Linked DNA regions of Oryzias latipes. The protein of the gene in region 1 purifies or fractionates together with the protein of each later gene. This does not show direct contact. Links are inferred from orthologs where the notes say so. Each region holds a gene or a part of one and is shown on either strand. Other genes may lie near its edges.

Region 1 (8,012 bases):
GATCCAGGATCGTCTGTACGCACGCTCAGCCATTTCACTGGAAATGTTTTCAAAAACCGCCCGGTTGCGATAAGAGTTCTGGAGTTTGGCCTGAATAGAGCTGTCACCCCAAATATGAATCCAATCGGTGACCTGCTTCCCTTCCACTGACTGGTCTCTGCAGCATCGTCCTCCATGGTTGATGTTTATGTTCTCATCCCGCCAACTTCAACGCAGAATGATGTTTGTAGCGTCTCGATGACGTACGGGTCGGCTACATGTAGCCTGGCCGTTCAGACGGCGGTCGCATTTGAAAAGATCGGATCTGTGTTGTTCAGACTGTCATGAAATGATCAGATTCATGTCGCATAGGGGCAAAAAAATGGGAATTGGGTCGTTTCAGCCTGCGTTTCTTTTTTTTTACTTCAGTTTGTTTTTCCCCTTTAGGGGCTGCCTAAAAAATGAAAAAAGGTCCCCTGATTTTATCTTTGTTTTTATTTTTACCCTCTCTGGTTTATGTGGGACAGCAAGCCTTCAACACATTTGGGACTTTAAGTTTAATTTTAAATACGTCCAACAATAAAATCCAGCCTTGGACGACTTGAAAGGTGTGCGGGGAACGCAGCAACGTGCCATCTTTAAAACAATGTTAAAACAATGTTAATAAAAAAATGCAAACTTGAGCGCACAGCAGAGACGATGAGGATGATGAAGATGCTGCACTACTCTGATTGTGTAATCTACAGAAGTGCTTTTTCCGTTTGGTCTGAAAACGATGGACAGAGGAGCATTTAGAGACTCTGGAGATTTAAATTCATGTCGTCAGTTCAAACCTTCACCAGCAGAATCGGTGCTCTGACGTCATCAGATGAATTGTTTGGATAGAGGAACAGCTGTTCTGCAGTTTGAGACAAACGGAAGGATTTGCCAAACTTTAAAATCAGCACAAAACCCATTTGGTTCTTGTAGATCAGGGGGGTCAAATTCATTTTCACCGAGGGCCACATCAGCATAGTGTCTGTCCTCAAAGGACCAGATATAGCTTCTACATGTAACTAAATGCAATAAAAAATAAATGTTACTACGCCTTAATGTTAAATAACTCATTTATTTATTTACTATAACTTTTTAAAGTGACAATTACAGTTGCATATTAAACATATGCTTGCTTGTTACCCTATCATAAATCCTTTTAAACATTGTCTGGTTATTAAAACCCACATAACTCCATTAATGAAGGATCAAACTGTCCAAGTGAATAAAGAAAAACAACATAAAACTGAGCTGCAAAGAACATAAATTATAGTGCAACATTTGACAAAAAGGCTGCACACAGCTTTGCATCCAACTGATGGTTTGATGACAACAATTTGTCTGCATTCAAACATAAAAGCTGCAAACATTGAACAATTACAACAGCAGCTATACATTATTAATATGTAATCAACTAAATCTTCTTTTTTATTTTTAAAAATTTAAAACTTTTATGCTCTTGCGGGCCACATAAAATGTCATGGCGGGCCACATTTGGCCCCCGGGCCTTGAGTTTGACACGTGTGTTGTAGACGGTCCGGTCCCTGCAGGTTCTGACCTCAGAGACATCTTAGAACCACCAGAACATCTCCAACTTCCATGGATGATGATGATCTCCACCAAATGGCTGGACTTCAGGAAGTGGGCGTGGCCTCAAAGGTTTGGCCAGCAATGACCCCTGACCTTAATATCAAAGGGTACTTTTCATAGTCCATTTATTTTCAAGGTTACTGGGTTTCTTCTGGGCGAAGGCGGATCCCCCCTGAACAGGACGCAGTCTGTTTCACTTTACATGCTGCATTCACACTCAGACCAAATAGCAGAGTAAGTCATTGTGAGGAGTGGGACACACGCAGACTTTAGCAGCAACGTCTAAAGATTTCAAGTCAGCAGCACGAGACCCGGTTCACCCTAACGACAGAATGATCCAGATTCTGAACCTTTAGAGGTGCTGGAAGGACTTTTATGGAGGATTTTCAATAAATGTCATCATTTGAATCAAATCTGTTCCATGATTTTAGCATTGTACAGGACAGCTACCTTCCTTTGTGTTTTAGCCTGACCTTAAATATTGATGATCATCATCTCAGGCAGCAGCTACAACACCAATTCCACATTCCACCAGCTTCTTCTCACCAGCAGGTGGCCTCCTCCTCTGTTCATTCAGACTCCTACAGCAGTAAAGAATTTATAGTCTTCAACATTCTCCAAATGAAATTTGAACTCAAATTAAAATCAAACTTCACACACTCCCAGTTTACTTAAGAAATAAAATATTAAACAACAATTCATGCATTTTTAGGAAAACTGTTTGACATAGAAATAAATAATTGTACTTTTTTAGGAAGGAAATTGAAACATAAAACCTTTTTTTAAGCTCTGCACCCCCCCCCCCATTTTCCAGACCTGCTGAATCCCTTTCTGGGTCACAGAGTTGCTGGTGCCGACCCGGCTTGTTGGGTGAAGGCAGGGTTCACCCCGAACAGGACGCCAGTCTGTCGCGGGATCACACGCTCGTGTGCACACCTGGGGGCAATTTAGAGACACCAATTAACCTATGGAGGATGTTTTGGGACAGTGGGAAACATGAAACCCAGCGAGGGATTTGAACCAGGACCTTCCTGCTGTGAAGTGAGAGTGCTGACCACTGCCCCACCATAAGCGGACTGATGCACATGTATATAAAAAGAATTAAGCTATAATTTCAAACATGAACTTTAATAAAGTAACTGCATTTCATCACCAAAACATAACCATGTGACATTTTGGACTGTTATTTTATTTTGATGACATTCACTTTTGATGTAGTGTTTGTTCATGATTTAAAATGAAATTAGTAATACTATCGTTAGTGTTTAAGATAATCTATGAAAGAGAAAACATTTGAACCCAGAGGGGATTGACTGAACAGTCCACGGTGCAAAATCCTGGTGGAAATACCCAATTGAACCAGAAAAATATTGTTCTTCATGTCCTGATATTGAAAGGAAAGTTTTATATTCACAAAAATAAATGTTTGCAAACTAAACCACTTTTTAGTACATTTTACAAAAAGCTGTTTTTATTTTCAGTCCCAAAATTATAACGTTGTTCATATAGTTACTGTTGATCTATGTATGATAACTCAATTGTTAATAAAGTTTTTCGGGGGGAAGGAATGAAAAAAAAAGGCGCACAATCAGGATTAGTGAGCTGCTTTTATTTTGAAAATTTGAGCGGAAATCCTGTGTTGAACATCCTCGAGAATGGCTCTGCAACAGCCTTCTTCCAAATCGCAGTAGCTTTTCGCGCGTTTCTTCAGGATATTTGTCCATGCATTCTTTAAAAGAGGTAAAGTCCCAGTTCTGTAAAACATTCTCACTGGTTTGGGTTGAAAAGTTTTGGTTTTTGTGACTTCTGTCCTGTTTATTCTGGCGAGCTAGCTAAACAAGCGGCTGTTGCTGTGTTAGCCGCTAGCGATGCTTCTTCTTCACGTTCCTTCAGGGCGAAGCTGCTCTATGTTGAGTTACATAAAACTAAAATGATAGATACAAAATTCTATCCAGTTAAATGTTTTTCTTTGTCACCACCTTAACACAATTGTACTGAAACAATTCAATCTTTGTATAGTTAGCTTCTTTCTTTCTCCATCAGCAGCTTTCAGCTCTCTTGACTCTGTACGTCCGTGTGAGGCTGCTGGTTGTTTTTAAGGCTTGAAATATGTTGACAGATTTGCAGAATTTTGTGTCAAACCCCTTAGAAAAGCTTTCATCATCATATCTGTGCCTCAGGAAAATCGAACCCTGTAACTGTTATTTCCGGCTGGCCTTTAGAGTCAAAAGCATGAATGTAAATATATGTCACGAATACAGAGTAACAAGAAAATAAATGCAGAATAAAAACATTTCAGAGAAGTCATTCAGTCTAAAGTCATAAAAACATGAACATGGATACATAACTTTATTAAATATTTTTAACCTAATATAAATCCAAATACTCCAACTAGCAAGTATTAAAATGATAGTAAAGTCTAAATCAGGTTGTGTCCGAATCCGTCAGTACTCAGTAAATACTGCACTAGATGCTGTGTTCCCCCTTTTTCTAGTGCTGTCCTGATCTACAAATCCAGAGCCCTGGAAACTTCCCAGGAGTCTCTGTGAAAAACCTGTGTGCATCGATGCAAATATAGACCACAATGCATTGCTTCAGATTTTTTTTTTTTTGTCAAATAAATGTATTTTTTTAATAAACCATCAACGTTTTTCTCTTCAGAAGACAGTGGACTCATAATCGTCCCAAAGTACTCATATTAATTAGATTTTAACCTTCTGAAACCGATGACATCATATCCGCCGTTTAAAGAAAAAAGTAGTGAGCGTGGCGTCTGAATGACTTGTAAAATTCAGGGCTCTACATAGAGCTGCACTATATAGATTTTAGTAGTTAGGGCGGGAATTCTGCATCATTTTAGTTTGAACTCCTGATGTGACTGCCAGGTCAAACCTGAGCCACATGCTGATCTGATCAGCGTATCCTAAAGGTTTTCATCGTCCAACGCTAGAATCCCGCCGCTTTCTGATGGCCGATTAGAGAGGATGGACTCCTGTTTGCTGTTGGACGCCTCCTCAGCCGCAGCCAACCACAAAGAGCCGTTTTATTCCACGTTCCGTTTGTTAGTTTCAGCTCATTTAGTCAGGTTTGGGCTTTGGCGTGACGGCTACTCTCACTTCCCGCTGACGCCTGCACTTTAAAATCTAGTCTGAACACATGAAAGGTTTGGGGAAATGGATGAACTTCTCTGTTTTATTGTGTTATATTTGCTGTTTTATATAATTACATGAAAATTCAGTGATTGTAGTGTGTGAATTGACCCATCAATGGGTTTCGGCGTGTCGTTCGGTCCCCTTCGCAGCTCTGACAGCAACCATGGCCGAGCGGGAGGAGCGGCGCTTTGCTCAGGTCTCCAGGGAATCGGTGGCTCTCATGGCTGAGAGTGCAGGGGTGGAACTTGGCGAGGAGATGGCGGCCGTGCTGGCGGAGGACGTCTGTTACAGACTCAGAGAGGCTGCTCAGGTGAGTGCTGCCTAAAAGCACGCAGGAAACCGGGAACAGAACCGTGACTTCACAAGATTCTGGACTTGTAGACCTTACACCAGACCTTACAGAGACCGCTGTGAACAAGACTTTAAGACATGCAGCTGAAATCAGTGTCTGAGGAGCTCAGGAACCTGAAGAGGAACCGGTTAAAAGTCTACAGTCTACAATAACACAAAGTTTAGATTTCCTTTTTGTTCCTTTATTAGAATCGCACACCTTTGTTTTTACTGGACAATCACATCGACCTTTTTAACATACAACCAAGGATCACTTTAAAACTTTTGTATAAATATCATTTATTGAATATTGGACACAACTGTAAACCATAAGCTCCCCTTTGGCAGGGATCTACTAGGAACAAGTCTACATTTCAAAATAAAGTGTATCTGAAAACAGTCTGGAGAATATCGGACTACAAAAACATCGTCCGATGCTGAAGTTAACACCGACGAATGTGATCCATCTGTGGTTTAGCGCTGCTGGCTCGTTTGGTTACAGTCCCGTTAAATGGGGGTCTGTTCCTTTTGGGGGTGTTTTGCTTTTACCAGCTCAGTGGCCTTGTGGTAGAGTGTCTGCCCTGTGACTGGAAGGTCGGGTGTTCAAACCCAGGCAGAGTCAGACCTAAGACTCTAAAAATGGGACCCAATGTCTAAGGGGTTGGATTGGGGGGGGTTGAACCACCAAATGGTTCCTGAGCGCGGCTGTGTCTGCAGCTCACCGCTCCCCCAGGGGAGGGGTCAAATGCAGAGAACAAATTGCACACACCTAGGTGTGGGGCAGGTAGTGGAACTTTAACTTCAACCTTTGTCTGACTCAGAGCTGCTCTCAGTTCATGAAACACGCCAAACGGAAGAAGCTGACGGTGGAAGACTTTAACAGAGCTCTGCGGTGGAGCAATGTGGAAGTAAGCGCCGAGTGTTTTTGTGGTGAGTGAAAGTGGACGTTCCTTCAACATCTTCCCTTGTTCATCAGGCCGTCTGTGGCTACGGAGCCCAGGACGCTCTGCCCTTCCGCTCGGGGAAAGAAGGAGAGCTTTTCTTCGTGGACGATCGGGAGATCAACCTGATCGAGCTGGCTCTGGCCACCAACATCCCCAAAGGCTGTGCTGAGACCATGGTGCGAGGTGTGTATGCGAGCACGCGTGCGGACACACGAGCCAAGGCTCGCACTGAACGCGGCGCCTCTGCTTTGTGGCAGTGAACGTGGCCTACCTGGATGGGAAAGGAGGCGTGGAGCTCCAGGGAGCAGGTGAGAACCGGCTGTACGTGTGAAGGACGCCTTTTTTACCGCCTGCTTGGGGAAATTCACTGCAGTGAGTCATCAAGGGGGGGCCTAAGGAGCCCCAGGTCCAAACACTGCAGAGAGTTCTGACTGAACCGCCTAAAAACCTCAGAGGAGCTGACGTTCCTCCATCAACAGCTTCAAGAACGGATGATGTGGACAGCTGATCCTCAGGATGTGATTATTGCATTTAGAGGAATAGTCATCATTTACCAGGAACCTTTAGCTAGAACATAATTAGAATCCGTTGAAAGTCCTTCAGGTTTTCTCTTCTTAAAGCAGAAACCCGTTTGTCTCTGAATGTTGGCTCCTCACAGTACCGACTGCAGTCCAGTCTCTGTCGGACGACCTGCTGAAGTATTACCAGCAGATCACTCGAGCCATCCTGGGAGACGACCCCCACCTCATGAAGGTGAGCCCCCGCCGGGTCTCACGCGGACGAGTGAAGCCTTTCCCGCTCATCCCGTCTCTGCGCCCCGCAGGTGGCTCTGCTGGACCTCCAGTCCAACTCCAAGATCGCTGCCTTGCTGCCGTACTTTGTTTACGTCATCAGCGGAGTAAGTTTTTCTCTGATCAGCGGATACTTTGAGGTTCAGATCGTGGATATTTGAGGAATTGTTCATCTGAGAAACCTTTGATGGCAGAGGAGGTTTCACAAATGCAGCTCCGACTTCACCACAAGGAGAAAAGGTGGCGGTCATGAGCCGCTTCCAAATCGAGTCCCTGATTGGTCAAAGTTCAACTTTTGCAAAGCAAATCGTGAACCTGAAGGTTTTGAACAAGGAGGTCCAAATTTCTGAGCCCGGTGTAAATGTAGCATAGGAGATTATCCCAATGAATCATGGGAAATGAGAAAACCAGGCGCTGATGCCGGACAGACTCTGAAACCCCTGTAGCTGTTGTTTTAGGTGGAGCGGGGAGACAGGTGAGGACGTTCCCCACGTCTGATTGGTCACAAGGACGACGTGTGATTGGCCGAGGCAGTTTAAGGGATCGAACTTTTCCCAAAATGAGAACACCTGGCTGAAGCTGTGGAAAAGACGGTCGTTCTGACCAGCTGAGTGGCCTTGTGGTAGAGTGTCCGACCCGGGAGTTCAAATCCACAGCCGTGTCGTAACGAAGCCTCTGGGCAATAAGGGGTTGGATGGGGGGAGGGGTTAAACCACCAAACCCACCAATCAAACGCAGAAACATGTTTTTTACACCAATCAGGTGAAACTGAATTGCGGCACACCTGACCCCGCTGATTGAAGAAAACAAACTTACCTGAGCTGTAAAAAATGAAGCTATAAAACCCTCAGACACAAAAAGGGAAGGAGCTGTGAGGAAGTCGTCCCAACACGTCAGTGTCCTGCTGCAGGTGAAGTCCGTCAGCCATGACCTGGAGCAGCTCAACAGACTGCTCCACATGGTGAGGAGCCTGGTCCAGAACCCCTACCTGTACCTGGGCTCCTACGTGCGCAGCCTGGTGTCCAGTGTGATGTACTGCATCCTGGAGCCGCTGGCGGCCTCCATCAACCCTCTCAACGACCACTGGACCCTCAGAGACTACGCTGCCCTGCTTCTGAGCAACATCTTCTGGTGAGAAACTGTTGGGGTTCCTTCTCAGTTCTCTAACTGTGTCATCTAGCTGAAATCAGAGT
Region 2 (7,874 bases), on another chromosome or scaffold:
GTTGTGTAGCTTTTATAGTTTGGTTCTGACAGAGGTGGTATTTCTTTCAGGAAAAAGAAAGTCAAGCCATGATAAACGTCCTTCTGTTGCTGGAAAACGTCACATTAAGTTTCTCTTGGAAACTGGAAACCCACCATGGAAGTCCTCATGTTTTACAGATGCATGATAGGTGCTTTCAGACCGGGAACAGCAGAGTTTTAGCTTCTGAAGGATCTTTTTTTTAAAGTTTCTTCTTTGTTTCAGTCTTTCCAACGTGGCCGCATGCATGGATTCGAAATTTTAGCCGACCGGTCAAACGTTAAACCACAGCTACACAACTGGCTGTTACAAGAATAAACAAACATTGATGTAAACGATACACCTTTATTTTTATGTTCCAGTTTCAGTGAATTTAGGGGAATGCTGCTAGAGTAAAAGCCCAGTGTTAAAGCATGCATGCATACATTATATTCATGTTTTCTTTATCCTATTTGTTTTCCTGACAAACTTCTGCTCGGTTTCCATTCGTCTTTCAGGATCAGCTGTCCTTCAGCCGGCCCTCAGGCTTCTGTCCCACAGCTTTGTAAACTGTTACGTCTGATCGCACCTATCGAGGCCTGGTGGATGTAAATATTAGCTGTAATAAGCCCATTCCATGTCGGAACAGAATTCACATCTGGTTTGAACTGTTTATAATCTGACATATTAAACAGGTTTAAAGCCGTAACTGTAATCACCTCCAGTTAAGGATTTTGTGTCACTTTTACAGAATGTGATTCTCCTGAAACAAATAAGTTCAGGTTAATCACAAAAAAATGTTTTCTTCCTTAAACTCAAAAGCAGTGATCACTTCCTCGATCAGCTCGTTTTTTATTTTATTTTATTTTTTGTGTGTGTGTTTAAATGAAATCCTCCTCAGAAACCGGCGTCTTTGCAGCTCTTTACATCCACTCTGTTGCTTTGGAAACAGAACGGTTGTCTGTGGATCACAAGAATTTGGATCCTTAAGTCTCTAAGGACTTTGACTAGCCGCTTGTCCAGACCTCAGAGTGACTGTACAACTGAAGTTGTTTGTCTCTTTAAAATTATTTAAATCCGATGCATCTATTTCTCAATCTGTTTTAAAACTGTCCCTCTCCAGATATCTTTACTTTTTTTTTTTTTTTTTTTTTTTAAGGGGTTGGCTTTATGGGTTTCCGTCTCAAGCTTATCCAAAAAAAAAAAAAAGTGTGCACTTATTGTAAATCTGTCCTGAGTTTGTGCACGCACGCACAGAACTGTTTTAGGATGTGTGTTTCTTTGCTTTAATGTGTGCCGTCTGTTGGACACCGTCATGGGACTACGGCGTGCACGTATGTATGTGGGACATCATACCAACACCATGAATGTAGATATTCTTCAATTTTTTTTGACATTTCCTCGTCCAAAGGTCTTCACTGTCGAGTCACCTATAACTTGAACTTTAAATGAACGTCGCCGTAGATTTGGCTTTTCAGACAAAGCGAGAGGCATCGATCTGGAGGATTGGAACCGCAGCGAATCTCCTCGCTAAACAAAACCAGCGCAGACTATTGACAAACCTGGAAGAGGGAAAGGGAAAATGACATGGGGAGGTCTGGAAAAGGGATTTGCAGAACTGCTTTTGCCAGTGGACTTGGAGTATAAAAAATGTAATTTTTTCCCCCTGTAAATACAGTTTTTGTATCGAGTGCTTATTATTTTGTTAGTACTTTGATTTTTGGAAACCCTCATCTGTGATATTGGAAGCCGGTGAGTCTTTCACTCTTCAGGAGGAACTTTTGGTTAAATTCACCCGTTTGTTTTTTGTTCCTCTGCCAGCTGTTGGTTTCTAGAGATCTCTATAACAGCCAAGCTTTACAAGTTTGTACTGCTGACCATTTGACAGAATTTGATGTTTTATATAGCTGAGGCCGGGTGTTCTTATGTCCTTGTAGTTCAAGTATTTGAGCAAATAAACAACAAAAAAGCTTGAAAAGATGCTATGTTTTTGAGTAGGCAAAACATCCATGTAACCAAAACATTTCACTTTTTTTTTACCATGAATATCAAGGATGCAAAGACTGAAAACGACATTTCAACACTTTTAATGTTGTCTGAGATGTTCAACTATTTGCTTCCAGTTTGCAACTTTGAAATATTTTCATCAAACAGTAATCCATATGCGTTTGAATCAAATCATAGCATTGCTTATCTAAATAAGGAAATTTTTGTTTTCAAAGTTAGAACACGCAGAAAACCCTAAAATCAACTATTTGATGTTGAAAAGCTGTAAAATCTAATACACTTTTTTAATTTGGAAGGCATTTATGTTTAATAATATATTCAAAATTCTGAATGGGGCAAGTACTAAGCAGCCGTGATGTATATTAACCACAATATTTGATAATAAAATCTAAAAGTCTATAGAATCTATAGAAAGTCTATAAAATCTATAGCTAAAGTTAATAAAGGAAGGTTCTAAATCAAGCGTGACAATAGAACCGGAAGCACATATATGTACCTTCAGAGTAATTTAGTAATTTCTTTTTTTTGAAGAAAGTTCTTCTGAATTACATTTTCCTCTGTGACGCGGTTGACAGTTTGATATATGTAAATAATTGTAAAGTAAATAAGAAGAAATTATGACCAAATCCCAAAGTCTTGTCTTTAAATCCAACACCGTTTACGACATACAGCTTTTATTTTTTGAAAGTAAAACCCGAAGCCCGTCCGTGTTATTCTTCTTCGCTTTACTGCTGTGTGTGGCCAAGCTGTCGGCCTGTTCGATGTCAAGCGGGTTTCTAACGTCAGTTAAGCTAACCTCCACCTGCGGCAGCTCTGACTTCGGACAACAGAAGCATAAAACCGTAAATCGTAACGATGGCTGCGACTTAAGGACAAGCATCCCGTCTGCGTGTTTCATCCGGACCGAACCGGTTATGTGGCTTCTCCCAGAGAAACCGCCTGCTTCAGGCTGAGTTGTTGTTGGCACGACCGGGTAAGAAGAGGAAACAGTTTTCGCTCGAATTCTGATGCTATCAATCTGCTCTTTTAGGGTTACCGTCTGACAAACGAGGAAAATATATCCAAGGATTGTCTGTAGGCATAAATACTAATACTTTTTTTTAAACATATTAAATATGTTTGTGTTTAAACTGTTAATAATAAAAAAGGAAGAAAGTGCTTTTACATTCCTACAATTTAAAGTATAATTAGTATAATAACATCTAGATTCGACCAGATGCAATTATATATTAAAAAATTAATAAATAAGAACTCATTTACACCTCCTGTTTCTCATTAAATAGGAGGGGAAAGCGGTTATAACCTGGTCTACATGGAAAATTCAATTATTTATTACTTAATGGAAGTTTGTCTGAACCCAGCTGGATGTGTTTACTGTAGTATTTTTAGGCTGAGCTACCATGGAGTATTTATTTAGTTTCCAGCTTGCTTATGTTAAATAAAGTTTGTTTTTTCCCCTGAAAAAGCTTCTTCACCTGCATTTGTTTTGTTTGGAGATTGTTCATCCTCCTCTGTTTCCTTCTCCTGATCAGAATGAAGAAAGTTTTGCTACAAGGCTTGATATTCAAAGTAAAAGTAAGATGTTTGTTACTTTTATTTTCTTGTTTCCAGTAAACCTTTTCTTTTCTTATTTTAAAATGATTGTTGAACTTTTATTTTGAAGGACACCAGCTCATCACCTCCATATCAAGATATCCTGGATAGATTTTCAAATGAAAATGGAGGATATGCCTCTCTCAGGCCCAGACAACACCAAGCTGGAGGTGAATCCCCATCACCTCATTTGGTCATTTTACATAACCCCACCATTTTTCTTTGACTTGAGTGTCTTGTCTGCTGGCAGGCCTTGGTGAACGACATCTACTCTGAACTGGTGGAAGATGCGTGTTTGGGCCTGTGTTTCGAGGTGCATCGTGCTGTGAAGCAGGGCTACTTCTTTCTGGATGAAACGGACCAAGAGAGCATGAAAGAATTTGGTCTGTCCCGTTCGGTCCAATTGATTCTGTTCATTTATCGTTGTCTGTGTTTGCTTGACTTGTTTTTTTGTTTTTTTTAAATGTGTTTCAGAAATCGTGGACCAACCAGGAGTGGACATCTTTGGACAGGTGTACAATCAGTGGAAGAACAAAGAGTGTGAATGTCCCAACTGTAAAAGACTGATCGCAGCTTCCCGCTTTGCTCCTCACCTGGAGAAATGTCTGGGTATGGGACGCAACAGCAGCCGCATCGCCAACCGCAGGTTTGTCGGTGGCGACCGTTTGAGTCAGGCGCTGTTATTGATTCGGTTCACACTCGCGGTTTTCCTCTGCGTTTTGGCCAGACTCGCCAGCAACAACAACACGAGCAAATCGGAGAGCGACCAAGAAGACAACGATGACCTTAACGATAACGACTGGTCATACGGAGCCGAAAAAAGAGGTGAGCGTGGAAACGTCAAAATACAGACGGACGGTGACGCTACAAAATAAACACACCTGTGCACACTTTGTTTTTCAGCAAAGAAAAGGAAATCGGACAAGGTATTGATTTGATCACCTTTTGACACAATTTATTCGTTTTATTCTGTAAAATAGTCTTATTTAAAACAATACATATTTCTTTGCAGAGTCAAAATTCCCCAAGAAGATCAAAAACTCTGAAACACAAAAACGGTAAGTGGGTCAGAAATCTGCATCCTGTTAAAACAAATATCAAAAATATGTTGTTTCCCAACAGAGAGAAACTGGTTAAAGTACTATTTGCTTCAGTCTAATTAAATTTCTTCTACAAGCTCATCTTGTTAAAATTTCATTAAAATGAGGGATACTTAGATTATTTTTGGTTAGAATTTTGTTGGCCTGCAGTTGAATATTTTAGTAGAAAAATACATTTTTTTTAAAGGAGAAAGTTAACGGCTTAGCAGTGAAAAGTTTCAATGTATTGTTTTACTTGAAACGGCTCAGTGGGCTTTTCAAAATAAGAGTTCCGTAAAGAGAAAGGCCGTCGGACTACAAATGACAGTAGAATTGACTTGATTGTCGGACGTGATTTAACACAAAGCTTCAGTTTTGTGAATGAAGAGCTGCACGTTTCCTCCTCCAGGTGAGCTTGGGAGCAGCATGAGTGCAGATCCTTACAAGGTGACTGACGCCTCTCCTCCATTACGAGTGCAGGGCTGTGGGGCGTTTTTGTGCACCTCACTGATTGGGGTTTTCTCCATTTCAGTACAACTACAACGCTGGCATCAATTATGAGATGTTGGGCCCTGATGAAGTCCGATCCTTTCTAACTACAGTGAGCACCTTAAACACATCAGCAGGAAAATTTCATTTCTCAGCATAATGTACCATGTCTGTGTGTGTGTTTGTCTTTTTTATCACAGCAGTGTGGGGTCATATCAGAGCACACGAAGAAGATGTGTACAAGGTAGTTGGAAATATCCAAAATTATTAGTTGTTTTCTAGTTTCAGAGCATTTTCTTGTTTGGATGTTGTAACTTGTAGTTGTTTTGTCAGACTAACCTGCTGTAGGGTTGTCGTCTTCCTGCCCTGTAGTTTGGGAAGGTCGACCTGTCTGTCATCACGCTGAGTGTGTAGAGACTAACTCAGGGGAACACAAGTGGCAACCTGGAGATTTTTTCTTTTCTCCCTTTTAAAACAAAAACCAAATTCTGCAAAAGTCTTCCATAAAAGCGGACAAACATCAGCGTCAGTTGGACCAAGACGGCTCCGGTCGTTGACCAAACGTCTTGGTGTTGGTCATTGACCGGCTCCCAGCAGTCCGTCCCACCTCCTGCATGCGGGGCCGCTTTCCATCGTGCTACCCTCCTCCTCAGAAACGCAGGTTAATGCGTCCGTCTGCCTGAGGAGACGCGTTAGCATCATGGGAAGCCTCCCCCGGGGTGAGGCGTGGAGCTGTGCGGTGGGTGTGGGCACGCCGTCAGTCAGGGTCATGTAATGCCACCTTGTGTCCCTCCAGGTCTCAGCGATGTCCTCAGCACACGGACGAGCAGAGGATGGCCGTCAGGGTGTTCCTCCTGGGGCCGTCCGCGTGAGTGTGCCTCCCCCCACCTCACCCGATAATACCCATGATCCACTGCAGTAAAGCAGAGGATCAACCGCTCATCTCAACAGAAAGTCATTTCCTTCAGTCTGCTTTCTCTCACTGATTTGGGGATTTCTTTGTCTGAACCTGAATTCATGTTTTCACTGTAGAGGCTGGTTTCTGCTTCAGAGCGATCGGCCGTTCTATCAGTCGCATGGCGCCCCCGACCAATCGTGCGGTCTAGTTCCTAATGGGGTTTTACTTGTGACTGTCCACGTTAAACTGCGACAAACTTATGAGTGGCGTTTATACTTTTCAAGCCCAATGAGGCGATTGCGTCCAGCATTTCAGCGGTTTGGTATTTTATTTATAGTGGTATATCTTTCAGATTCTGCTTTTCATGAACTAAATACATAAAAAAAAGAACATTTTGAAAAACAAAAGTCATTTCCAGAAACCAACAGGAATTGTGGGGCATAGCTGACCGTGATCATATGATGTTTGGGTACTTTTCAACAGGAAGGTACTTGGCCTGGTGTTTGGCAGCAGAGCCGCCACCAGTGTGTGAATGTGTGTGTGACTGTAAAGCGCTTTGGGCCTTGTAGGTAGAAAAGCGCTATATAAGTATACGCCATGGTGGTATCTTCCGACAGAAGATATTTTCTTGAAGCTTCTGGCCGCAGCCACCGCTAAAGTTCAGCCGTTGCTCCAGTCGTCCTCCTTTCCCTCTTTCTCAAAACATCATCATCCAATCAGTGATGTCCCATAGTTCCAACCCCTTCCAGTTTCTTTCTTTGTTTAATATTTCAGGAGATTGTCTGAAATCTTTCTTTCTTATTTGAAATAATTTTTTAGTTTTTGACTTTGTAAATTGTTGTTGTGATCTTGAATGCGTTTGCACCTTAAGGCCACCGTACTTTTTTCATGTAGAACGTGGGGCAAAGAAGCTGAATAGCTGTGGGAACTCGTGTTGTTGTGTTTTATTGTGGCTTCACCTGATTCAGGTCTTCCTCTGTTTTTTGGGTTTTGCGTAACAGGCCGGTTCTGCCCGAGGCGGACTCCGTGGCGGGGCCTGAAAGCTTCGACATTCCCGACGGACAGGCCTTAATGAGCCGGCTGCAGTGGGAGGACTCCCCGGAAATCTCTCCGTCTGACTCGGCCTCTTCCAAAGCGAGTGAGGAGACGTCCGGAAGTCCTTTCCCGATCAAACTGAGGACGGATAAGGAACCGATTTCTGTTTCACTTACAGGCACCAACCACTCAGACTCCAGGAGGCCCAAGAAGAAGAAGAGGCCGCCTCTGGGACTGAACAGCGGAGGTGGGATTGGAAGTCTGAGCGGCGGTGGCGGCAGCGGCGGCTCTCAGACTAACATCAGTTTATCGACCAAAAAGAAGAAGCCCAAACTCACAGCACCTTCCATTTCAAGCATCTATGATGACTTAAACTAGCATGAGCCCGTCTGTCTGAGCAGCCCCTCAGTAAACTCCCTCCTTTCACGCCGTGGTGGAGCGTTCCTTCAGCAGCACAGGAATCTAACATTTTCTGGTGAAGTGTCCAAATTCTTCAGTTCACCTCAAACCACAACATTCCAGCTAATTGGTTGCAGCCGGTTTAACGTGTTTTCCTTAGATGAAGACTCCAATAATCAGTTTATCTCCATCTACGAGTTTCTACAAACAAAAAAGATTTTTCTTTAGTGTCTGACGGATTTGAAAGAGGGACGTAGAACAGAGTGAAAGAATCTTTCTATACTTGATTCTTTGTACCTGAAGGTAAACAGATTTAGTTACTAAGCAGTTTTATAATACTTCATTAGGTTGTCTTTGCAGCAGGTTACTCACCAACT
Region 3 (8,151 bases), about 2.3 Mb from region 1:
AGTAGATTAACTCGCAATTATACTCGAATAACTTTTCCCCTCAACAGGAACCAAGACAAAAATATGAGTTTAAACTTATTCCAATGATAAACCCCTCTGAATCTGATTTTTTTAAAGTAATCTGACGTGAATTCTGGAGGAATATCGCAATGCCTCTCAATATACTGTCATGTTAAATGAAAAAAAGGTCACTTTTTACTAGTTTAAGATCACCTCAGTTTAAAAGTATAAGTTAAATAACAAAACATAACTAACCTGTTATTTATTGAAATGATAAGCACTTTTTTCAAAGCCAAAGAGCCATAATGGAGGAATGAAAGAGCCTGTGGCTCCGGGGCCTCAGGTTGCAGACTCCTGAGCCAAAAGTTTGCAGGAAAACTCCCAAAAGGCGTGTTCAAACTAAAAACTGCCCCTCCACAGACCAAACATGAGAGAAGCGGACATATTGGTTAGATTTTGGTTAGGGTTAAAGACTCACTCTGATGAAAAAGCTGTTTTTAACATGTTCTTGTGTCATTTTTCTCATGATGGAGGACATTTATAAAGAAAACTATCATTAAAACAGCTTTTCTGAGTATTTCTGTATTCAAACTGTTGTGAAGGAGCTTATTTGTAACGTGGAAAACACGCTGGGCAGGCGGAAAGCTACTTGCTCTGCTCCATTCTGATGCATCCACTTGCAGACAAACAGAACATGTTCGTCTTTATTTCAATCCAACATCTGAACTGGAAAGCTTCAATGTTGCTCCCAGTCTTTGTATCACAACTCAGAGGTGAATTTGTAATAAACTCATGCCGCTCTGCAGAAAGAATGACTTAGAAAATAACATGTTTTTTTTTTTTTTTTGGCTAAAAACAACAAAATCATAATTAAAAGACCACTGGGAACGCGTTTAAAATAACTTCAGAGACAGTTCAGAGCGGGACTTTGAGGATTTCAAATCCTTATGGTGGATTTTTTTTTACACAGTTTTTCTGATCTTCACACATTAGAGAGCGGCCAGAGTGAGGCTCAGGATGCCAGAGTGAGGCTCAGGACGCCAGAGTGAGGCTCAGGACGCCAGAGTGAGGTTCAGGACGCCAGAGTGAGGCTCAGGACGCCAGAGTGAGGTTCAGGACGCCAGAGTGAGGCTCAGGACGCCAGAGTGAGGCTCAGGATGCCAGAGTGAGGCTCAGGACGCCAGAGTGAGGCTCAGGACGCCAGAGTGAGGTTCAGGACGCCAGAGTGAGGCTCAGGACGCCAGAGTGAGGTTCAGGACGCCAGAGTGAGGTTCAGGACGCCAGAGTGAGGCTCAGGATGCCAGAGTGAGGTTCAGTACGCCACACATGCAGCTTAGTGGAGGGCAGACCTCTTTCTGAACCTGAAGGCACCATGGAACCTCCCAGCATGCTCTGGGGCAGGTGCACATGACAGATCACTTCATGAAAAATGCTGCTTTTTAATCATCCTAACATGAAAACCATAAAAAAGTTTCAGGTTTAAAAGCTTTTCTAATTCAGACCCCGGGGCGAACTTAACATTATAGGCAAAGGTGGGCGATCGCCTGGGGCCCCCAACTCTCCAGGGCCCCAAGCTGAACCCTTAATAACCGTGACTAGAAAGAATAAATATGCTATTTTATAAATCTATACAGACATTTTCAAAACCCTTCCAATGGAAAGAATTAGCGCCAAGTTCAGGAACAAAGACATTGTTTTTCACTGGTTTATGGCGCCCCCTGCTGGAACATTTCCCTAATGATCAAAGGGGTTCGGGTTGATTGGAATGGCGCTCTAATCTGACTGTTTCAGCTGATTGACATGACTTTCTCACATACTCTGTGAACGTCACCTGCTTTTAAATGCATGTGTGTGTGTAAACAAATCAAAGTCCTCCTTCTTACGTCTCACGAGGACTTTTGCTTTTATTTGATCTCACCTAAATCCGTGAAGAGTCGAAATACAAGAAACAATTTCCACTTTTGTTCATGATGAGCAAACAAGTGAAAACATCAGTGGTTGCTAGTAAAGTTCAATAGAAATCCAATATTTCATGTTTTTCTCTGACTAACTGCAAACATGGTGGATGCAATATCATTAAAAATGTGTTAAAGTTGGACTTTCATTTAAATCAGGAAGTAATAAATCATGGATGATTAATTACTGATAATTAATCATTGATTAATATTTTGGTTGTTGTTTTTTTTGTTGGGTCTGGTGGTTTCTAGGTGAGTTTTCGGCTGGAAAACCAAGACTCTATCTGGCAACACTGGCAGAGATTAAATGATGATTCAAAACAGTTTTTAAAAAGTGATCAAATGAAGCAGAGGGAAAAGAGGACTAAAGAAAGCAAGAGGTTTGCTACCAAACCTCCAAAAGTGCTGGAAGATGGATAAAATAACAAGAGCGAGAAAAAAAAGTAAAAGAGTAAAAAAAAAATGAGAAAAGGACGCCATAGGGAGGAAAAGCAAACGGTAACTTTAAATATATTTGGTTTTTTTTATAGATGTCATTTTGTACTGTTTTGTTATTTCATTCAAGTTTTTTTATTCTTTAGCAAAACCTGACAAAAAGAAAAGAAAAGACATTTGTTCCTTCTAGGAAGTGGAGGATTATGAAATTAGTGCATTTAATAAATTTAATGTTTTTCCAAGTAAAAATAATGTTTATAAAGAAACACATTTTATTTTACATTTAAGTTTTTAAAATTTTTATCAAAACATTTGGATTCTTGACATTGATGTTGTCTAAAAGTGGATCAGTGAGGAGGTTGTCCGACATTTTACCCTATGGGTTCGGATTTTTAAAGAAAAAATGAATAAAAATGCAGCAGAGGGCACCATGCTGTTGTTCCCCTGGGGCCCCCAAGTCCTCAACTGAGTAAACAGGTGGATATTTTAAACATGGAACCACATTTCTAAAGTTATTTACATTTAGAAATGTGGTTACATAAAAAAAAGTCATATAAACAGAACTGAAGTTAAAATGACATTTTTTTTGCACATTAACTCATCTTTGGCTGTTTTAGAATCAATATTTTCTAAAAATAAATAAATGAGAGACTTTCTTTAACCTTTATAACACTTTTAGTTTTTTTTTTAAACATAACATCAGAAAAACTCCTATTTTACTGAAACACATTTGACATTTGACAAAATGGGATATAAATAATATTCATCCAGACAAAACTGTTGAAAAATCTGACGTTTTAATATCTACATTTGTACCTGCACTACACTCTTTTTTTTGTAAACTCCCAAACTATTGACTTCCTGTCAGAAGTTGCAGGAGTGCAGTTTCAAGCAGACACCAACCTTTTCCAGCTTCTCCTGAAGCTGTGAGCTCAGCTCCTCGGCCTGCAGGTGAGCGGACTCTGAGTCCGCCGTGACCTGCTGCTTCAGGGCGCTCAGGGTCCGGATGCAGACCTCGTACTCGTACCGGTCCCTGGGCAGGTCTGGGCTCCTCCTCAGCTTGGCGTTTGCTTCTGCAGCTTTGCAGACGTATCTTGCCAGCTTCCTCTGCAGCTGTCTACTTCTCTGGGAGAGGTCCTCGTTCTCCTTCTCCAGCTCCTGGAGGACTCGCTGTGCCTCTGGGCTGTCGTCCCTCCCTGCAGCGGGTTTGAACCCGGTTTGAACCTCACTCCTGCTGCTGTTTGTGACGTCACGTGTTTTATCAGAAACCTCTTCCATGACCTTCCTGCTCATCAGGTCCCCTTGTGATGTTGATGCTTCAGCTGGAAACCTTATTTTCCTCTTCTTTACCTTTTTTTTCTTCCTTCACCATATTTATGTTTAATAATATTCTTCCATTTGGGTTTAAACCGCTGGAAAAATGTAAATATTCTAAAGAAACTGCTAACTGGTGAGAAAAAAGCTCGCTTTGAGTTTAGTTTGCGTTGTCTTGGAAACTGGGGCAAAGAGCCAATGACGGGCCGCGCGCCGCACGCTTCAATGTGCGCAGGCGCGAGGTTCCGCCTCCAACAAACAAGAAGCAGGAGCCCAGCCAAGATGGCCGACCTGGGGAAAAAGTACTGCGTTAACTGCCTCGCCGATGTCACCAACCTGCGGCTCCGGTGCACCGAGTGCACCGATATCGACCTGTGCCCGGAGTGCTTCTCGGCGGGAGCAGAGATCGGTAACCACCGGAGGTGGCACGGCTACCAGCAGGTCGACGGCGGGCGCTTTTCGATCTGGGGTCCCGAAGCGGAGGGAGGATGGACCAGCAGGGAAGAGCAGTCGCTGCTCGATGCCATCGAGCAGTACGGCTTCGGAAACTGGGTACATCATCACTGACATCATCTGTTTAGAGCTTTTTTCCTCATAAACTCCTCCGGGTTTGGTGGATAAGTTGATAAACTTTGTGTCTCTACAGTTTGACGGTAATAGTTTAAACTTAACAGAGAAGTGTCGGTTTTTTTTTGGAAAGTAGCAGGACTGTGACTGACAGGTGAGACGTTCACCTGGCAGACCGAACCCCCGGAACCACGGAGGGAAACGTTTCATTCTAGGGTTCAGAGCCTTAAAACGGCTCCAACCAGCTGACAGCCTTCACTTTGTGACTTAAACCACATGAATTCTTTAGGTTAGATTCAGTATTTTTGGCAGAATCCGTTCATTTTAAATGAAACTTCCTCCAGTTGTCTTTGTAAAAGCAGATTCATGAACCCTTTTCACTAATGTTGGGACCACAAGACACCCAGAGACCAAATCTGGTGGCCACAGATCTGGTAGAGCTTTCAATTCTGAACACCGAAATAACAACGTCTTAACGATAACATTTTTGGATAGAACAATTGGAGAACTTTGTCATCACAGGTACAAATATCAACGTTTGTGTTTTGTCTTCTAGAAACATCTTCCCATCAAATTATCACAGGACATTATTCAGGTGCTTTGGCGATTATTGATACGTTTTTCTTGATCGATCAAATAATGTTATTACGGGCTTTATTTCTGCCAGGTGGTACTTTTGGGGGACTTGTATCACTCGGTAGCTTTCACGAAGCTGTGAAGTTGATCCAAAGACGTAAGATGCTGTTGGCTCCCAAATGTCCGGATAAGTCCCCCTGTTCCTGGTTCCGAATTCTAATCTAAAGTATCAGCACTGCGACGCACACATACTATCACTGTGTGAACGGCACGTGCAGTGACAACCGTTACGGTCCGTAACTAAAGTCAAACGTTTCATCCATTTTTTGAACCCAATCAACCCCTTTTTGTGGTCACAGGGTTGCTGGAGCCTATCCCAGCTGCTGTTAGGCAAAGGCAGAGCGCAATCATTGACTCTTCATGAGAGCTGAGTGAGTGTGACTTCATCCATGGAAAGCGACTTAATTCTGACTTCAGCTAAATTAAGGCAATTCAGTCGCCATTTTTACGCAATATGGAAGTCGCCATGTTGGAGCCAGACGTTGTCAGTCAACAGTGATTGGTCCAAGTTGGTCTGAGTCAACATTCCGATGGCAACCGCTCTCACCAATCAGGAGTGAGCTTGTTGGAAGTCCACACCCCTTCCACTGAAAGCCGGAGAATCTTTCTTTTCATTTTTATTTTTTAAGGCATCTGATTGGTTAGTTTATTACTTGAATAAATTACACTACAGAAAAAATTAGGATGATCAAAAGTATGTTTAAAAAAAAGTATCAGAGCAAGAATGTTGATTCTGACCAATAGAATGACAGAGTAACGGCTGTTTGTTTCTCAGTAGAAGTCTATGGGATTTTGGCTTCTTGGAACCAGCAGCTACTTTCTATTTATGCTTTGAAAATACAGTGGGGCATTTAGTCATCCACCAATTGTGCAAGTTCTCCCTCTTAAGTAAGTAGATGAGTGTATGAGGGACAAGATGAGAACAAAAATGCAGAAAATCACATATTTGGTCGATAACAAAAGTTCAACTCAGTACTTTGTTATATACCCTTTGTTGGCAATGACAGCAGTCAAACGTTTCCTGTAAGTCTTCACAGGATTTTCACAAACTGTTGCTGCTATTTTGGCCCATTCCTCCATGCAGATCTCCACTAGAGCCATGATGTTTTGGGGCTGTCGCTGGGCAACACGGACTTTCAACTCCCCCTAAAGATTTTCTATGGGGTTGAGTTGTTGAGACTGACTAGGCCACTCCAGGACCTTGAAATCCTTCTTATGAAACCACTCCTTCGTTTGTTTGGGATCAATGTCATGCAGAAAGACCCAGCCCCATTTCATCTTCAATGCCCAACTGCTGGAAGGAGGTTTTCACTCAAAATCTGACGATGCACCGCCCCAGTCATTCTTTCCCTTACATGGATCAGTCGTCCTGGTCCCTTTGCTGAAAATCAGCCCCAAAGTATGATGCTTCCACCCCCATGCTTATGGTGTTCTGTGGATTCAACTCAGCATTCTTTCTCCTCCAAACATGACGAGTAGAGTTCTTAACAAAAAGTTCTATTTTGGTTTTATCTGACCATAGGACATTCTCCCAATCCTCTTCTGGATCATCCAGATGCTCTCTAGCTAACTTTAGACGGGCCTGCACATGTACTGGCTTTAGCAGCGGGACACGTCTGGCACTGCAGGGTTTGAGTCCCTGGTGGCGTCGTGTGTTACTGATGGTAGTCTTTGTTACTTTGGTCCCAGCTCTCTGCAGGTCGTTCACTAGGTCCCCCGTGTGGTTCTGGGGTTTTTGCTCAGCGTTCTTGTGATCATTCTGATCCACGGAGTGAGATGTTGACAGGAACCCCAGATGGAGGGAGATCATCAGTGGTCTTGTGTGTCTTCTATTTCCTAATAATTGCTCCCACAGTTGATTTCTTCACCTCAAGCTGCTTTGCTGTTGCAGATTCAGTCTTCCCAGCCTGGTGCAGGTCAACAGTTTGGTTTCTGGTGTCCTTAGACAGCTCTTTGTTCTTGACCACAGTTAAGTTTGGAGAGTGACTGTTTGAGGTTGTGGACAGGTGTCCTTTCTATAGATAACCAGTTCAAACTGGTACCATTAATACAGGTAATGAGTGGAGGACAGAGGATCCCCTCACAGGAGAAATTCCAGGTCTATGAGAGCCAGCAATTTGTAGGTGACCAAATTCTTATTTTCTACCATAATTTACTAATAAGTTCTTTAAAAGTCTGACAATGTGATTTTCTGGATTTCTTCCCCCCTCATTTAGTCTCTCATGGTTGAGGTTCACCTATGACTAAAACTACATGCCTCTCTCATCTTTTTATGAGGGAGAACTTGAACAAGTGGTGGCAGACTGAATGCATTTTTGCCCGGCTATTGAAAAAGACAATGTTTAGAGTGGGACTTAAAAGTTGGCATCTACTTTTACCTGGAGCTGAATTTCTGTCCTGAGGCAAAGTTTTCTTCATCGTTCCTGTGTCTTGTGCTCCCCCAGGAGGACATGGCCGCTCACGTGGGGGCGTCCCGCAGTCCTCAGGAGGTCATGGAGCACTACGTCACCATGTACATCCACGGAAACCTGGGCAAGGCGTGCATCCCCGACAGCATCCCCAACCGCGTGACCGACCACACCTGTCCGAGCGGCGGCCCCCTGTCCCCCAGCCTCACCACCCCGCTGCCCCCCCTGGACATCAGCCTGGCCGAGCAGCAGCAGCTGGGCTACATGCCGCTGCGAGACGACTACGAAATCGAGTACGACCAGGACGCGGAGAAGCTCATCAGCGGGCTGTCCGTCAACTACGACGACGAAGACGTGGAGATCGAGCTGAAGCGCGCGCACGTGGACATGTACGTGCGCAAGCTCCGAGAGCGGCAGCGGCGGAAGAACATCGCTCGGGACTACAACCTGGTGCCCGTCTTCCTGGGCAGAGACAAGAAGGACAAGGAGAAGCCCGGAGGGCTGGGGCTCTCTGGAGGCTCGGGTTCTGTGGGCGGAGCTGGGGTGGGCGGAGCGGTGGGGGTGGGCTCTGCGACAGCGGCAGGATCCATTCCCATCCCGACCACGCCCAAAAGAAAGATCACCAAGGAGGAGAAGGAGCAGCGGGTGCGGCTGCGCGCTCTGTGCCAGTTCATGGCCCATCGGGAATTCGAGGACTTCTTTGAGAACATGCACAAAGAGCGTGCGCTCAGGGCCAAGGTGCGCGAGCTGCAGCGCTACCGCCGCAACGGGATCACGCGCCTGAAAGAGTCGCACGAATACGACGCAGCGCGCCAAAAGAGGGAGAAACGAAAGGA
Region 4 (8,094 bases), on another chromosome or scaffold:
TTGGCGCTCAGGAGTCCAGAGGATCTGATCAGGTCATGGCCAATCGAGGAGGAGCTACAAGACCCAATGGACCCAACGCAGGCAACAAGATCTGCCAGTTCAAGCTGGTGCTGCTGGGGGAGTCTGCTGTGGGGAAGTCCAGTTTGGTGCTTCGTTTTGTCAAAGGACAGTTCCATGAATTCCAGGAAAGCACGATAGGAGGTGAGCTGCATGCTGTATGTTCAGTTTAGGACTTTGATTGTTGTGATCCGGTACTTTTAACTGCATTTGAGTCCTGTTTACAATAGGATGACAGTTTGTGCTAAGCCTGTGGTTTTTGACTAACCCACTCGCCTCATTTCCATCGCCAGCGGCCTTCCTCACCCAGACAGTCTGTTTAGATGACACGACGGTGAAATTTGAAATCTGGGACACAGCTGGTCAGGAGCGATACCACAGTTTGGCACCCATGTATTACAGAGGAGCACAAGCAGCCATTGTGGTCTACGACATCACAAACGAGGCACGTTCATGTCGCGCAGAAAGCGCTGGAACTATGGAGCTTTAGCTCCAGTGTTGGCCTTCTTTGACTTCCCGTAACTATTCAACTGTTTACGCAATTAACATAAATGAACGGATTCTGGAACTTTACAGTAGTGACGTTTTGAAATAAATAACGTAAACCAACTGATTGGGACGAGGAGAAAAGCACTCTTTACAGTAGTAAGTCTTGATTGACGTAGTTAACATAAAAAAAAGGTTTCTGATGAGGAGAAAAATGATCGTAGAGTTACGGTACTTCAAAGAGAGTGTAATGTTAGCTTCAGGTTCATGTTTATTTTCCCCTCAAGAATTGGCCCAAGTGAAAGTTTAGCTAACATGCCTTTTCGTAGGAGTCCTTCGCACGAGCAAAGAACTGGGTGAAGGAGCTACAGAGACAAGCTAGCCCCAATATAGTCATCGCTCTGGCGGGCAACAAGGCGGACTTGGCTAACAAGAGAGCTGTCGAATTTCAGGTGAGCAAGAACACGCCATATTTAGTTCTATTTAAATCCCACGGATGCTTAAATACATTGACAGCCGGAACGCTTGCTGGATGTTTAGCTTCAGTGGATTCTCCGTGTTGTTTCAACAGGACGCCCAGTCTTACGCAGACGACAACAGCTTGCTGTTTATGGAGACCTCAGCCAAGACATCGATGAATGTCAATGAGATATTTATGGCAATTGGTGGGTAATTCAAATGAATTCATGTTTTTCTATTGTAATAGGAGACATTGTGGTCGATCGCATGTTTGTATTCTCTTGCATAGAAGTGCTTGCACAGTGGGTGTGTTACTGAGACTTGTGATCACAAGTCAATTCTTCAATTGAGCAATAATAGAGCGTTGACGAATATCATGGCTTCATCAAATCCGCCAGACATGAGTCACTGCAGGGAGATAATCCACTGCATAATCCAATGTCGGCTGGTTCTACGTCACTATTTTTTAATGAAATAAAATAGTTTATTTGTAAACAACTTTTAAAAGAAGTATTTTTTTTTTCACATTTTTGTGACTTTTTATTCTTTAGCAAAGAGATTGCCGAAGAGTGAGCCTCAGGCTCCAGGAGCCACCAGCGGGCGGAACCGTGGAGTGGACCTGACAGAAGCCGCCCAGCCGGCCAAGGCTCCATGCTGCTCCAACTAACAGGAAGAACACAGTTTTCCAACACCTGCATACTAGTTACTGATGTGGCTCGTGCCACCGAAGCTACTAAAACAATGTGTCAGTCATTGTTTGAAGCCAGAAAAGATATCCTGCGCCCAATTAACCCCTCCATCCTGCCCCCCCCCTTCTCTTCGACTTTTTCTGTACCGTGACCCGATGAAGCCTCCTAACCACTTTGTCTTACTTTTATGCCACCAACTCGTCCATCAAGTAGAATTGATGGATTGAGAACAGAAGCAGGCGTCCCTGTTGCTTAAGCAGATGAGAGTTGTTGGTGGAGGAATCCCTTTTACTGGAATAGCTTAAAGCCTAACTGCTGTTTTGTTTTTATTAATACGTTAATCATTGTTTAGATTTGTGGAAATGATGAATTCCCATCTGGGTAAGTCAAAAGAGACAAATGTGTTCTAACAAAGTCTGTTGGAGAAGAATTCTGAATCTGAGAGGGGAGGTGGTGGAACTCTGTGCTCCCTCTCGACCCTTTTTACTTTAACGGATAGAAACAAAAGGCTTTTTTAAAATCTGATTCCCTTCACTGACCCTGTCCGTATCCTTCACTTCCACTAAATTCACTCTATTTATTTTTTTCTTCTCCCCTCTCCACACCTCTGGGCTCCATCATGGCTCTGTGCCTGCCTGTAGCCTGTCCATAGCGGCATTGTGCAATGTTTTGCAGTATTTACTCTTGAGGTGAGCGTCTGCCAGGACCAGCGCTGCACAGCGGAACCCCTTCCTCACTCACCCACACCTGATGTGTTATGTCTTATCATAGACCCTCATGCGCTCAGACGGGGGATTTAAGTCCAGGATCGTCTGACGGATTTGTCGCAGTTGTTGCAGGGTTTTTGTTAAAAAGAGTGATGATCGGAGCTTTGCAATATGTATGAATTCTTCGTAATTATGTTGGAATCATAATTATTTGACATCTTAAAAAAGTGCTTTAGACACACTAGTGTCATTATCCGCAATCTGGGCCTGAAACGGTGACGAATTTCAGAAGGAGATGAAACAACACACTCGTTTGTGTGTGTGTGTGTGCACGTTGGAACTCACATTTGCACAATAAAAACAAAAACAGATTCACTTTCTCCGCCGAGCTCTTTTCTGCTCTAGATCAGCTCATATTCTGTCTGTTACACCTTATTGGTCCGTTTCCTACACATTGTCACATAAACACCCGCGGCATTAAGACTTCAGTCTTTTTTTGTTGTTTTTTTTTTTGTTACAGATCGGTTTTATTCACGTCTTGCACTAATGATTCTCATAAAATTTCTCTAATTTCAGGTGTGATTATAAATATATACATAATATAAATATATAAATAATTTACTGTAAATATCATGTTGCAGTGTAGTCTACCCTTTTTCTTTTCATTTTACCAACTACTGCTTGCTAGGGAGTTGTTTAGATAATCAAGGAGAAGACAAAAAGTGTAGTTTAAAAAAAATGGCTACATTCTCAGTTTGGACCTTTTTTTTTCCCACACACAAGGATGCATAATAAACAGTGGTGGTCTTTATGTATGTAGTGATATTAACAAAAAAATAGCATTTATTTAGAATCCATTTCTCCAAATAAAAAAATGTTTATCTGAACTTTTGTGTGTTGCGTGTGTTGTGTGAGCGTGTGTGTGTGTACAGAGACAATGATGCCTTGTTCTTTTCCCTGTGTGTAGAGAGGAATTTCGATACGCACCACAATCAGATATCACATTCAGAAGGATGAAAATCCACTGGCCTGGAGCGATTTGTGACCATACTGGATTTTTTTAAATGTTATTTTATTCCAAAACCACTTAAAGATGGCATTTTTTTGTGTGAAAATACTTATTTGCATTAAAGGATAGTCTAAAATGCAAGTGTTTGACAGCACTGTTATGTAATGACCAAATCAATACTGAAATAAATGTGATCATTTGTCATTGTGGTACGACTTTTTTGTGTATATACACCTCATGTCACTTTACTTTGACATTTTTTTTATTTTTTCGGTGTTTTTTTACTTTTATTTATGCTTCATTGCTTTATTGTCTGAAAATGTGCTAAAATTATGGACAAATGACCTTGAAATTCTTTGCCTGCATTTTGTGACCTCTCTGAAATGTGTGCAAGTCAGAGGATCAGCGCTGCGCCCCCTAGTGGAGGAAATCGGCCCCACAGCGAGAAATTGAAAATAAGGATGAGCGCCATGTCTGATTCTCTGCTTGTGGAATAGAGCGGACGGCGCTGCGAGCTTTCCCCGGGCCTTCTGGGTTTTTTGTGGGGGATAATGGCCGACAGCGCTGGAATTCAACAAGGCTCGCCGGCCATCGGAGCCGCCGGCCTTGTCCCAGCCGCCCCCGGTGCCGGGGGAACGGAAGGCTCCGGCGCCGCTGGAGGATCCGCACGTATCGTCGCGAAGAAGGCGCAACTCCGCTCCTCGCCTCGGCCGAAGAAACTGGAAAAACTCGGAATTTATTCGTCATGCAAAGTATGCACTCCCGCAGTGGACGGACTGCCGGAACAGTGAAGTTTGTAGTGCGCGTTGGTCTTGGAGGATTTTCCTCTGAGGTTAGGTTGCAATAGTTCAGTATCGCATTATCATATGCAAACCCAGCAGAGGAAGCCATTGCCCCACTTTTTCTCCCCTCTTCATTTTTGTCCTCCGTACACAACCGAGAGGGGAGTCTTTAAAACTGCGGCGCGCGTGACGCTTGTTTTAGTTCACACTAGGACTCTTAAAGTAGTGCCTTCCCCCCGGAAAGCGTTTATAGTGTGACTGTGTGTCAAAGAGGGGGTCGCCTCGCGCTGTTTAGGAGTAACAAGCTAACGGAGGTAAAAATAATAAAAAAAAAAATTTCTGTTTGTGGTCACGTGCGCGCTTATGCCACTACAGGAATTTTTCCACGCTTGCCCGAGGCGTTTAACGGAGCGCGGGGGGAAGCACGGAGCAGGTTATTGGGCTTGTGCGGCGGGTGATCCGCAGAGAGGGAAGGGGTCTTTGTTTTGACAGGGTGACAGCTGCTGCGGTGGGCGGAGTTTGTTGTAGTTCCAAGCGCGTGCGCAGAACAGCGTAGCCAACTGACAGCGGTGTCAGTCCTGCTCCTCCCCCAAAATGTCGCCTCCGGAAATCTGTCTCAATTGTATGGAGGCATTTTAAGTCATGATTAGAGTAAAATTTAATTGTGAATTGACATTTCAGGCTTGGAAAACGAAAACACATTTTGAAAATTAGGATTCAATATCTAAATTTATATTTCAATATGACAATTTTAAAAATAAAATATTGAAAAAATGCATTTGTAACCCTTGTGCTATCCTAGGCACTGTAACGTTGGGAGTTGGGTCATCTAGACCCACTAGACAGTGCTCTGAACCTTTTTTCTTCAATGATTTGTGATCTTCACTGGTGTCCATGGATTACATGAAATCTTTCCACCTTTATCCACCTTTGTCATGGTAGGAAGAACACGTCAATGTAAGGGTGGGGTCATCTAATATAGCACAAGGGTTAAATCGTATAATCATATTGCAAATTGAATTTTTAATTGAGAATTGCATATCACTTTGAATTGTGGCTCAAAAAAACGTTGATACAATTGAGACTAAAAAGAGTATTCAAAACCCATGCTACTTATTAAATTAGAAAAGCAAAAAAGTTTATTTATTTTACAAATAGGGACGTATTTGTTGCTGGAGATAATTTTAGTGGAATCTTATTTGGCGCGTGCTAATACAAAAAAATGTTTGTGACTACTGCCCCCTAAAGGTTGAGATCAGGAACTGAATTTAGGAAGAACCACGCGATGAAAATATGTATTTTTTGTCTTTCTAATATGTTCTCCAGACATTTTTCATGAAAAAAAGACAAACATAAAGAAAATTAAGTTAGAAATTGCATTTCTAAGTCTTTATTCAAATCATTGTGAATCAAGAGCAGACGAAAGAATGCAGTCTGAAAAAGGTTTTAGTTGGGATGTAGAAATTACACTGTGCGGGCGAAATGCTCCGTGATCTCCCCCCCATTCTGATGCATCCATTTGTAGACGACTTGTACATCTTCGTTTTCTTTATCCGAGCTAGCGTCTGGCACAAAACTCTTCAGAAGGATAGTTCTGATATTGCTTGACATTTTTGTTGCACTGTTAACGTTAACTCTGGGTTGTGAGGGGCTGTGAGCTAGTGGGAGACAGTGTAAACGGAGAACTCTCAACAAAGGGGAGGGGAAGGGAGGTGGGGTTGCTACACGCCAATGTTTTCTGCCTAGAAAATGACCCGTTTTTTAAAATTTTGCCTAAAATCGTAACTGGGAACGCTTTTATAATTTATCAAAAATAATCGGAGTTGGTCTTCAAATAATTCCAATGGGAGGAGGAGATGAACATTGGCAATTGTATCGATTTAATCATTCTGGCAAAATTACAAAGCCGTTTTGGAAAAAGTGTTGATTAAAGACAGAAGACGGGGTCGCCAACAGTTGCGGTGGTAGGCCCTCTTTTGGAATGTCCCATCTTCTAGTCTTTACCTAAAGCATACATAGCTCATTATTGGTATCATCAAAACTAAATAAAATAGGTAACTTTGTTTATGATTGTATATTTAAAAATGAAATAAAAAAGATATAACAATTTTAATGTTTTTCCTTATAGGCTGAGGGGCCCTGTAAATGTAATGGCTGGAAAAGCCAGAACCCCCCTCCCACACCCCCCCAAACCGACCAGCAGACCAACACAGTGAACCTACAGGAGCCCTGCCGCAGCTGCTCCCACACTCTGGGTATGTTGTATTTCCAGTTGCCTGCAATAATCCTCCTTCAGATCTTGGAAGATTCCAGCCTCTGTCACCTCACAGGCGATCACGTGAGCCATCTAGAAAATATATCGGAAGAGGAAATGAACCGACTCCTAGGTGTCGTCCTGGACGTGGAATACCTGTACACGTGTGTCCACAAAGAGGAGGATGCTGACACTAAACAAGTCTACTTTTCACTGTTTAAGGTACATTTCTAGCGTCACCATTTTTTTCTTTTTTCATAAACACTGTTACCTCACTCACCAACGGCGGCTTGCCTTTCAGCTTTTAAGGAAATCCATCTTGCAGATGGGTAAACCGATGTTGGAAGCACAAGAGAGTCCTCCTTTTGAAAAACCCAGCATTGAACAGGTGAATTAAAGAAATCCTGGTGGGGTTTTTTTTAACTAAATTGTAAGATTCATTTCTTTTTTTATTTTAAATTTTAATTCAATAGGGAGTGAACAACTTTGTCCAGTACAAATTTAGCCATCTACCATCAAAAGAGCGTCAAACCATCATGGAGCTGGCGAAGATGTTTCTTAACCAAATCAACTACTGGCAGCTGGAAACACCGTCTCAAAGGCGCCAGAGGGTTCCGAACGAGGAAACGGCGGGATACAAAGTCAACTACACCAGGTACCGACCATGAACCCATCTGTCCCGCGCAGGTTTCAGTCAAACCCACTGAATGTATACGAGAACTGGACCGAGTGAGTGTGATGTCACCCATAAAAAATGAGTTCTGGCTCCAACCAAATGCAGTGAATTCTGTCATCATTCAGTCGCAATACGGACATTGCCATGTTGGACCCAGACGACGTTGGTAAAGGCCGTGTGACGCTTATTACACATGTGAAAATTGGTCATATATGAATATGTGTGGAAAAGGGGAGAAAAGTAGTGGTCTTTACGCAAAATGTTCACAGATCTATCAAGAATGAACCACGTTAAAACCGTGGAAGAAGTACAAAAAAAAAACACGCAAAGAACAATCAATCTGTTCATAACTTGAATAACTTTCCTAACAGAAACAATGTGAAAAAAATGAGAACGAGAAAGTGTTTATAAAATGTTTATAAAAAGTAGCCGAGCAAGAATGGTTATTCTGACAAATAGAATGAGTAACAGCTTTTTTTTTCTCAATAGGAGTCTATGGGATTATGTTTTCTTGGAGCCAGTGAGTACTTCCTGTTTGGAACACGGGGAGGGGGGTGTCACTCAGTCCAGTTCTTTGATACAGTCAATGGTCAAACCACAGAGATCCAAAAAGTAAGGGGTCCCCCTTTCTCAGGTGGCTGTGCTACTGCAATGTGCCCCAGTTCTGCGACAGCCTGCCGCGGTACGAAACCACCCAGATCTTCGGTCGGACGCTGTTGCGTTCTGTGTTCACCATCATGAGGAAGCAGCTGCTGGAGCAGGCCAGGCAGGAGAAGGACAAGCTGCCCCCAGAGAAGCGCACGCTCATTCTGACACACTTTCCAAAGTAAGACAGCAGCCGCATTCAGACAAACTGAACAAGTTTTCAAAGAAACTATTAAGAACTGTCTGTTAAAAATCACAGTAATTCAAATTCCAGCTAATAAACTAAAACTAAAGGAACTAGAATTTGAAAATAACTCACAACAGGGACCA

The links.
Region 2: the proteins of taf6l (region 1) and atxn7l3 purify together in Homo sapiens (affinity purification with mass spectrometry; 6 studies listed by BioGRID and IntAct, with this or other methods). This does not show direct contact. The link is inferred for Oryzias latipes from reciprocal best matches to the Homo sapiens genes TAF6L and ATXN7L3.
Region 3: the proteins of taf6l (region 1) and tada2b purify together in Homo sapiens (affinity purification with mass spectrometry; 3 studies listed by BioGRID and IntAct, counting the BioPlex papers as one, with this or other methods). This does not show direct contact. The link is inferred for Oryzias latipes from reciprocal best matches to the Homo sapiens genes TAF6L and TADA2B.
Region 4: the proteins of taf6l (region 1) and histone acetyltransferase KAT2B purify together in Homo sapiens (affinity purification with mass spectrometry; 5 studies listed by BioGRID and IntAct, counting the BioPlex papers as one, with this or other methods). This does not show direct contact. The link is inferred for Oryzias latipes from reciprocal best matches to the Homo sapiens genes TAF6L and KAT2B.

Annotation. Positions count from the first base shown.
Region 1 is NC_019876.2:29,106,112-29,114,123, forward strand, and holds the start of taf6l (TAF6-like RNA polymerase II p300/CBP-associated factor-associated factor 65 kDa subunit 6L), read left to right. Parts: upstream 1-3,202; 5' UTR 3,203-3,342; intron 3,343-4,903; 5' UTR 4,904-4,917; coding exon 4,918-5,064; intron 5,065-5,905; coding exon 5,906-5,992; intron 5,993-6,060; coding exon 6,061-6,211; intron 6,212-6,285; coding exon 6,286-6,336; intron 6,337-6,686; coding exon 6,687-6,781; intron 6,782-6,851; coding exon 6,852-6,926; intron 6,927-7,729; coding exon 7,730-7,950; intron 7,951-8,012. UniProt on the Homo sapiens protein: Functions as a component of the PCAF complex. The PCAF complex is capable of efficiently acetylating histones in a nucleosomal context. The PCAF complex could be considered as the human version of the yeast SAGA complex.
Region 2 is NC_019866.2:4,611,900-4,619,773, forward strand, and holds the start of atxn7l3 (ataxin-7-like protein 3), read left to right. Parts: upstream 1-2,692; 5' UTR 2,693-2,977; intron 2,978-3,536; 5' UTR 3,537-3,579; intron 3,580-3,667; 5' UTR 3,668-3,716; coding exon 3,717-3,767; intron 3,768-3,847; coding exon 3,848-3,980; intron 3,981-4,071; coding exon 4,072-4,243; intron 4,244-4,324; coding exon 4,325-4,422; intron 4,423-4,500; coding exon 4,501-4,523; intron 4,524-4,609; coding exon 4,610-4,655; intron 4,656-5,085; coding exon 5,086-5,123; intron 5,124-5,208; coding exon 5,209-5,277; intron 5,278-5,365; coding exon 5,366-5,409; intron 5,410-5,961; coding exon 5,962-6,033; intron 6,034-7,064; coding exon 7,065-7,201; intron 7,202-7,276; coding exon 7,277-7,476; 3' UTR 7,477-7,874. UniProt on the Homo sapiens protein: Component of the transcription regulatory histone acetylation (HAT) complex SAGA, a multiprotein complex that activates transcription by remodeling chromatin and mediating histone acetylation and deubiquitination.
Region 3 is NC_019876.2:26,803,807-26,811,957, reverse strand, and holds the start of tada2b (transcriptional adapter 2-beta), read left to right. Parts: upstream 1-3,883; 5' UTR 3,884-3,902; coding exon 3,903-4,256; intron 4,257-7,351; coding exon 7,352-8,151. Other genes in the region: ccdc96 (coiled-coil domain-containing protein 96), read right to left, coding at 3,294-3,683. UniProt on the Homo sapiens protein: Coactivates PAX5-dependent transcription together with either SMARCA4 or GCN5L2.
Region 4 is NC_019869.2:22,461,671-22,469,764, reverse strand, and holds the start of histone acetyltransferase KAT2B, read left to right. Parts: upstream 1-3,831; 5' UTR 3,832-3,958; coding exon 3,959-4,159; intron 4,160-5,592; exon of another isoform or gene 5,593-6,243; intron 6,244-6,317; coding exon 6,318-6,444; intron 6,445-6,519; coding exon 6,520-6,665; intron 6,666-6,744; coding exon 6,745-6,831; intron 6,832-6,916; coding exon 6,917-7,098; intron 7,099-7,753; coding exon 7,754-7,945; intron 7,946-8,094. Other genes in the region: ras-related protein Rab-5A, read left to right, coding at 1-201, 351-502, 873-995, 1,115-1,208, 1,554-1,669. UniProt on the Homo sapiens protein: Functions as a histone acetyltransferase (HAT) to promote transcriptional activation. Has significant histone acetyltransferase activity with core histones (H3 and H4), and also with nucleosome core particles.